Nothobranchius furzeri: one gene and its partner. The protein of the gene in region 1 purifies or fractionates together with the protein of each later gene. This does not show direct contact. Links are inferred from orthologs where the notes say so. Each region holds a gene or a part of one and is shown on either strand. Other genes may lie near its edges.

Region 1 (4,551 bases):
CGGAAGGCGCTTTATAAATAAAGCTTTGATTGATTGATTGAATGATTGATACATGTATGAATGAATAATTCTACATGATGAATTATAGACCAAAGCTCAGTTTTCACTGTTTTAGAGGATAAATATTTTAAAACCTGTAAAAATTCTGAGTAAAGTCAAAATGTATTCGTTTAGTACGTTACTGTGGCAACAGCTGTTGCCCCAAAGTGCTGCATATAGGCAAAGTAATTAGCATTAGAAATAGAGGAGCAGACCTAATCTATTACAAGAGACTAAAACTACAGGCAGATGTGTCTAAAATGCATAACAAATTACAAAAGAATAAAAATGGACACACTTAAAATGCGTCCTTCAACACAGCATAACGAGAGATTTCATCTGATCATTACAAACTTCTGCTACGGCCCATTCTAGCTGAGACACGGTGGATGGTTTTCCAGCATGGACGGCCTATTTAAGGTCAAAAGTCAGATAATCTTCAGGATTTTCTGCTAGAGAGGAGAATTCATGGTTCCATCGCAGCAAGTGGTCCTGAAGCAGCAAAGCAGCCCCGGACCATCACACTACCACCTCTGTGTCTGTTATAATTTTCTGAAATGCAGTGTTATTTTTACACCAGCTGTGATGGGGCACACACACACACCTTCCATAAAAGTCCACTTTTGTCTGTTCAATCCTGACATTCATCAAGATGTTTTTTGACAGATCGTTGTGTTCTTTGAGGTCAGCAGAGCTTTTGGTGGTTGAACTCTCCCATCATGCCACTTTTGCCGCATCTTTTTCTTGCTTTTGATTCATGACCTTTGACCTTAAGCTTTGCCAGCTGATGTGAGTTCTTTTCATCTTGAACTGTGTGTTGTAATTGTATACGTGTGTTGTTAAGGCAATTATTAAGCTGCTCTTCAGTCCTGGTGCTCTAAAAACACTTGTCATCGCGCCCGGTTATTTTCTCCTACTCAGGATTATACAGTTGTACTTTTGTAAAATAGTAGTCAGTTAGTGTGAGATTACTCTGGTGAAATAAACAAATGGCTTCATAATTAGTTTAGAGGCAACCTTGTTATGCACTAGATGACAGTGCATTTTGGGTTTTATTCATTTAAACCAGGCAGTTGGTATGCTGCTAAAAAATTTATGTTCAAAATAGGTACACAGATACATTATGTCCAGATGAAACTATAAAGTAACAGGTATGATTTCACTGTGCAGTGAACTGACATCTTTCTGCAGAAAAAGCTTCTCATGTTATTTATTTCCTTTTTTTTTCAAGCTTATGAAGCATAAAGCTACACAACTTAATTTAAAAAAACAAATTTATAACCCTCTTGTAGATGATTTCATAATATAGAAGAATGCTTTGCTCTTTAACTAACTCTCCTCTTGACAAACTCCCATTTAAATACATATATTCTGTGTCTTTCATGTTATCTTACTATATCCCCTTATTATTTTATTTGCTGTTCACGCTTCATTTTTTTCTTATTCGTAATTGACAAGTGATTCCAAAACCCAGGATTGCAAAAACATGGACGTTGGAGCTATTCTTATAACATGTTATTTTGCTCACGTTTTCAGTAAGGTTAATGAAGCAAACACGACGTGTGACGTAAACACGCGCTACAGGAAGCCTCCTCGCTGGAAACAAACCAATCACAGAGCGCCATGGATCTTGAGGACAGCCAATCAGCGTAACCTGTACGATATTTGAAATACGAACTGCCATTAGTTGTGCTAAAGTCAGACCGTTTGTAACTACGTCTGCGTTTGCTTTGTAGTAACTTTCCTAAAATACTGTTTCCGAGCGTTATTGTTGAAAAAAAAAACGAAGGTGAGACGTGTATTCTTTATTTACTCTTTGCCGGGAGAATTATCGCGTTATGTGCTGTTCAGTTAGCGTTGAAGTTAGCTAGGTAGCTAAGTATTTGGGTTTTTATTTGTTCACGTTGGTTTCTCTAAGAAATTACATTGCGATTTACTTAGTCTGTTTTTCGGTTTGTTGTTGAAGGTTTACAAATCTAAACCCTACAGCACACTTCGCTCTAATAAGATTAAGCGCTACGTATGTTTACAGAGACATTCTCATTTTGTGTATCATTACAATGGCTGCGTTTCTCTTTGGGGTTCACTTGTTTAGTGGTATTGCAACGTGTGTGGGCCTATCTGTTAAATGGAACAATACTACAACATCTCTGACTATGATTCTTCTCTCAATACTTTGACTGCTACATCACTTGAATTAAAGTAAATTAAACATTTATAACTCCTTTTCTAAAATAAAACTACTGGAAATTAGTGCAATAAAGAGTCATATATTTGTTTATGTGCGCTCTGCATTTACCAAAACAGGTTTAGTTCGAGTATGTTTAGCTAATTCTTTATAAAGTTTTCTTAATTTATTTGAAACTTGTTGATGTCTTTTAAAATGATGAATCACCAGCATTTGTATGGTGCCTTTCAGAGTCAGAGGACTCCAAAAGCGCTTTACATTACATCATACACACATGAGAGAGAACACTACTTGATCCATTCATAAGTTTGTGTGATGAATACACTTTCTCTTAAAAAGTTGTTTTTCTGTAATTCGATTATGAGATGTATATTTATATCTTGCTACTTTTGAGATTGACTACTTGTTTTATGTAACACTTTATGAGTGGGAGACATGACCATGTCTTGTGTATTATTTTGAGATTTATGTTTTGTGAATTATTCAGGTGCCCAAAAACATGGAGTCTCGTTTTGCTCATCTTCGGCAGAGGGACACAAGTGTGTCGATGTTGAGGGTAAAAGTGTCCCGCAGGAGGTCCCAGTCCCAAAAGGCGAACCGAGAGCGGACCGTGAACACACGCAGACAGCTGGGTCCGCTCGCTGAGCTGGAAAATTCTTCCCATAATGTGTCCGCTGCAACAGTCAACTTGTCAACTACTCGGGAGAAGCAGAACAATGCCAAATTTGCTCCAAGTATGATCCAACTTGAGCTTCTCGGCACAGTTGCACTGATTTCCTTTTCTACACTGTGTTTCAGTAAATGAGCTTTTCCACTGTTTCGTGCCTCACCGAACACTCGTTTTCCAACAGCTGTTGCACAAGAGGAGCGACTGAAACGACTTGAGCGCTGGAAAGAACAGAAGGCTCTTGAGAAGGAGAAGGAAAATAGAGCGAGGGAGCGTAAGGGAGTATTTAAGACTGGTGTCTTCCATCCGAAGGACACCTTCATGTTCAACTCCCTGCCTGCTGTTCCACCTGCCGTGTCCAGACCTAAGGAGGTGAGGGTTCTAAACACTAGAAGCACATTTGTCTTGTTGTTTTTTTTTTTGTGATGAGACGAGTAACAAAACGGTTAAATATTTCTACTCGGTGATTATTAAAATATTTGCGTGTCTTTCAGAAGATGAATGCAGCTCTATACCAGAACACAAGAGTCCTGCGTTCTATGAAACAGCAGCAGCAAGAACCACAAAAGGTGTTTATGAAAACATTCTGATTAGTATTCCTGTGTTTTACATAATAATCATAATAATATTTAGTAATGCATCTTCATTTGCTGTATTTTTGCCCACTTTTGCACAGCCCCTAGCAATGCAGAACCCAAATACTAAAGTAAACGGAGGTAAAGTAGCTTTAATTCTATTTTTATAAAACTTGCATGCAATTGATACGCCTCAGGTGTTTTTATTAAATTTCCACTTTTCTATTTAAAATCTGCTACAGGAAAACAAACCAGGACACGTGCAGCCCCCGTCAAACCTGCACCAGCTGCTGCCAAGTCTAAAGTTAGTGCAGGTAAGGAACAGATGATGAATCCTGGGACACGGCCAGACCATGTACTGTGTTAGCATCTCAAGCTGTGTCTTTGTGTCAGGCTATGCTGTCGTAGCGGGACCTGCACGAGCTTCATCAACCAGATCAGCCAGCAAGACTCTGGTTACAAAAGACGGTCCTAAACCTAAGGCTGCAGGTACACGCGGCTTAGTGTCTGGCGTTTTGACAGATTCAACTTGACTATCATAGAAACACTGAACTGTAGGATGAAGATGTCTTCTGGGAAAACGTAAATGTGTTGAATGTTTCTCTCTGCCTGCAGGTATGAGAACTACCAGGTCCACAGCGGTTGTTAAACCTCTGCCCCCCTCAGCTGGTGAAGTGGAGAACTGTAAAGGTGTCCTTATGTTTTACCACAATCCTTCTAGCTCTTGATGCTGTTTAAAGAAACATTCCTTAAACCACTTTGTGGATCTCCACAGCTGTGAGCATCGCCACAAACGCTGCAGCCTCCAAGGTGAGCACATCTGTAAATGTTCCAGTCAGCGTACCCGAGCCTTTAAGGGTCTGTGCTTAAGTCAGGGTATCTGCAGGTTTAAGGGAACCAAATTTAAGACTTTTTAAGACCTTTTTTATGGCCACTTAAACCAAATTTAAGCTTTATTTTCCAGCTATTGCCTGGAACCGGTGCTAACCACGTCGCAAACGTGGGATTAGCCATCCAGCTACCATTAAACTTGCACTTCCCCATGGTGCAAGCTCCCACTAGCTCAACCAGCTAATGTGCTC
Region 2 (3,819 bases), on another chromosome or scaffold:
TTGGTGGAAAACAGTCATTTCATTCCGTTACATCTGTAATTCCTGCTCTATAATTTATCCAAATAATATTCTTACTGATGAAATTTAAAAAGATAATGAAGAGGTACAAATTATGTTTAAGTAATAATTAATATTCATAATAACTGCACTAGTAGGAATTTAGCATCTTAATTCATGATGATGTCCTGACCAGTTGTCAACAGTTAAACCTTTTTGTGTTTTTACAGAAACTCAAAAAAGGCTATTAGGCAAATATTACTAAATGTGTGAAACACTGAAAAAACCTTTTTAATGATTATTTCTGATCATAATCAGTCACTGAGTTTTTCATGCAGGCTGAACATGAAAATAGTCTCCTACACCTATCTTCTGCATTATCTATTGATAGAAAATAGACAGTGAAACTGTTAAAATCAGATCTACATCACACTGTCGCCTAACATTCATGGACTCGCCCATCTTGACTCATGACGTGGAAGGCTGTTTTAGCATCCAGGAAACTGGAGAGAATGTCTCAACTAGTAGAAGCTAACTGTTAGCATTACCAACTCCACTACACAGCAGAACTCCTCCAGGCTTGTGTTATTTGTGGAGATGGAACAACATTGCAAATCAATTGCAGGGTAAACTTTTCTAAACAAAATCTCTGAAAAGGAACAAAATATTTTTCAAGTGTTCAGAACATTTATAGAATGTAATCATGCCTTTATCAATAATGTATAAGATGTGTGTGTGATTTATGTAAATACAGACGTGAAATCAGTTCGTGTAAAATAATCGTGTAATCATGAAACTGATTATTTCTTTGACTACAATCATGCCACCAAAATTTATAATTGTTGACTCCCAAATGCCAATACGGCAACCCGATGACATCCTAATAAGCAAATTGGATGAGTGCATTTGCTCTCTGTACAAACTTTGGGTCCTACTGAAGATTTCTCATTGACAGTTTACCTTTATCTCTTACCATTTTCAAGCTACAACCCCCTGAAAAGGTCCTGTCAAAATTTAATATTTTCTTGAAAAAACTGGCACCCAAAAGGTTATTTTGAATTTTTTGCTTATCATTTGTCTTTTCTTGCACCAAGTACTGCAGCAATTTCCTAATGTTGTGATTCTCGCACAAATGACAATAAAACCCTTCTGGTTCTGATTCTAACCGCTTACAGTCAGACGCACCGGAGCTGTAACATGCAGACTCCAGACCAGATTCCAGTTCTGGTTTGTGACTGTTGCAGCCTATGCCTGACGCTGTTGTCTGTGGAGTACTCCTGACATATTTTGTTCCTTTTAGGACCCTGAGCAGCTGCAGGAAAATGCCAACCAGATCCTGACGGCCATCATCCAGGGCATGAGGAAGGAGGAACCCAGTAACAATGTGAAGCTAGCTGCTACCAATGCCCTGCTCAACTCACTGGAGTTCACCAAAGCCAACTTTGACAAGGAGGTGAGGGTCTGATGTAATAGTTGGAGTTCCCTAGTCAGGGATGTAGTTCTGATCTGCATTTGTGAATAAATGATGATGTTTGTGTTTTCAGACGGAGAGGCACTTCATCATGCAGGTGGTTTGTGAAGCCACCCAGTGTCCTGACACCAGAGTGAGTACCATGAGAACTGAATCTCTTGCTGTGAGCTGGATCGTGTTTATAGGTCTTATCCTGATCCGTCCTGTCGTCTATGATGCATGCAGGTCCGCGTGGCAGCTCTGCAGAACCTGGTGAAGATTATGTCTCTGTATTATCAGTACATGGAGACATACATGGGGCCTGCTCTGTTTGCGGTAATAAACTCACTCAATATTTGGTTCTATAGAACAAAACTTGTGGTTTTGCTTTGATTAGTTGGGACAGAAGAACACTTGAGTGTAGTTTAAGGCAAAAGTTATGAATCTGAGGTCGTTTCTTTGGGCCAAAGAGTTTAAAGTCCTGTCCTGATTTTCATCAGTCTTGGTGAGCAACAGCGTTCCACTTGGGTGATGTTCTGGTTCATCGTTTATTTATTCAGAAGACAATAGGTGTAAACAGGGATAATTCCTCGCCAGGAACAGGGCAGGGTCATAAGCCTGGACATTTCCAGTTTAATGATCTGCTGCTGCACAAAGTTCAGTAGAGCTGAATCTCTAATTTCGGTTGTTTTCCAACATGTTTTTTAAATTTTGTTTCAGATCACTATTGAGGCGATGAAGAGCGACATTGATGAGGTGGCTCTGCAGGGTATTGAGTTCTGGTCCAACGTCTGTGACGAGGAGATGGACCTGGCCATTGAGGCCTCAGAGGTCTGTTTCCAGTTTGAGGACTCGTTTCAGATGTGTAGCGCTGCGTTCACTGACTGCTCGTTTCTCCTCTTGCCCATCAGGCCTCGGAGCAGGGGCGCCCCCCCGAGCACACTAGTAAATTCTATGCTAAAGGGGCACTTCAGTACCTGGTCCCCATCCTGACTCAGACCTTGACCAAGCAGGTGCTGACCTTTCACTTCTCTGTGTGCTCCTGCTAGTTTTGTGACTTCACTGTGGTTTATGAGAAATTAAATTTTTTCAAACTCTGCAGGATGAGAACGATGACGACGATGACTGGAACCCCTGCAAGGCTGCAGGTGTGTGTCTGATGCTGCTGGCCACCTGCTGCGAGGACGACGTGGTTCCTCACGTTCTGCCCTTCATCAAAGAGAACATCAAACACCCCGACTGGCGCTACCGTGACGCCTCCGTCATGGCCTTTGGCTCAATCCTGGAGGGACCCGACCTGAACCAGCTCAAGCCCCTCGTCATTCAGGTGCAGACCTAAAGCTCTAGACCAGGGGTTGGCAACCTGTTCCCATCAAAGAACCATTATTACCCGTTTCCCACAGTAAAGAAAACACTGGGAGCCACAGCAGCCGCGGCGTTGTGGGCGGGGCCTACCCTCAGACAGCAGAGAGCTGCTCACAACAGGTGACGGCAGCCGGTACCGGTCGCTAGTGTACGTCAAAGTTATCTTTCATAAGATAATCAATAAAACAATTTATATAAAGTGGATCCAGAAGTTGTAGCCCGTCTCTGCCTACAATATTTAGATATTTTTCACCCTGTTGGTGGTTTTACTGAGCAGGTGCCACTTTTGTCGTACGTTTCTTTTTAAAACATGTTTAGACTGTTCAGAATACAAATCCAGGCTCTGTCACGTTTGATTGTTGTAATTAAGCTTTGTAGGTGGGGAAGGTCAGAAAAGGATCCGATCATTTTGTTTTTCCCTCATTTACAGTGGCAGAGATAACGGCGCAGTGTGCCTGGTGTTGATCAAGTTTAATTTGTAACAATTTTCACAAGAAAACCGTTAAAATCAGGGCTTGTGTTGGCCAGACAGTTCCCGTATTTGACCGTTTATTTTGACGGAGAAAGAATAGAAAGAATTACCCCGACGCATGCAGACGAACTGACATTTTATTCTACGCACATCGCAGATGTAGCTAAATCACTCAAGAAACGATTCCCATCTGAACATCTGAGCTGGACACCGCTCAGCGCAGCTCACTGTCAGCATGTACTACATAAGGTCCACAGCGAGCTGAAGATGTGGAGAGGGGCTTGGAGCACGTCGCAGAACCAGAGCGCATGCGGGAAGGTTCCTCCCACTGAAGCGAGACTTGTCACTTAGAAAATGTTCCCTGATTATGAAACTTTGGCTGAATAGCGCTTGTTCCTGTGTCCAATGTGGCGACACATCCAGGAGCCGTCTGAGGAGAATCCCAGAATCTCACATCCTCTTCAGCTCAGGAAGCGCCGATATGATTACGCACAAGCATGACGCGTCAACCCGGTCTCACAGTAAGACCGGGTTG

What was found.
Region 2: the proteins of dlgap5 (region 1) and kpnb1 purify together in Homo sapiens (affinity purification with mass spectrometry; 4 studies listed by BioGRID and IntAct, with this or other methods). This does not show direct contact. The link is inferred for Nothobranchius furzeri from reciprocal best matches to the Homo sapiens genes DLGAP5 and KPNB1.

The regions. Positions count from the first base shown.
Region 1 is NC_091756.1:29,320,440-29,324,990, reverse strand, and holds the start of dlgap5 (disks large-associated protein 5), read left to right. Parts: upstream 1-1,680; 5' UTR 1,681-1,828; intron 1,829-2,714; 5' UTR 2,715-2,726; coding exon 2,727-2,961; intron 2,962-3,078; coding exon 3,079-3,266; intron 3,267-3,388; coding exon 3,389-3,463; intron 3,464-3,570; coding exon 3,571-3,610; intron 3,611-3,711; coding exon 3,712-3,783; intron 3,784-3,862; coding exon 3,863-3,958; intron 3,959-4,084; coding exon 4,085-4,159; intron 4,160-4,244; coding exon 4,245-4,279; intron 4,280-4,551. UniProt on the Homo sapiens protein: Potential cell cycle regulator that may play a role in carcinogenesis of cancer cells. Mitotic phosphoprotein regulated by the ubiquitin-proteasome pathway.
Region 2 is NC_091745.1:29,728,475-29,732,293, reverse strand, and holds part of kpnb1 (importin subunit beta-1), read left to right. Parts: intron 1-1,297; coding exon 1,298-1,450; intron 1,451-1,541; coding exon 1,542-1,601; intron 1,602-1,693; coding exon 1,694-1,783; intron 1,784-2,167; coding exon 2,168-2,278; intron 2,279-2,358; coding exon 2,359-2,460; intron 2,461-2,549; coding exon 2,550-2,774; intron 2,775-3,819.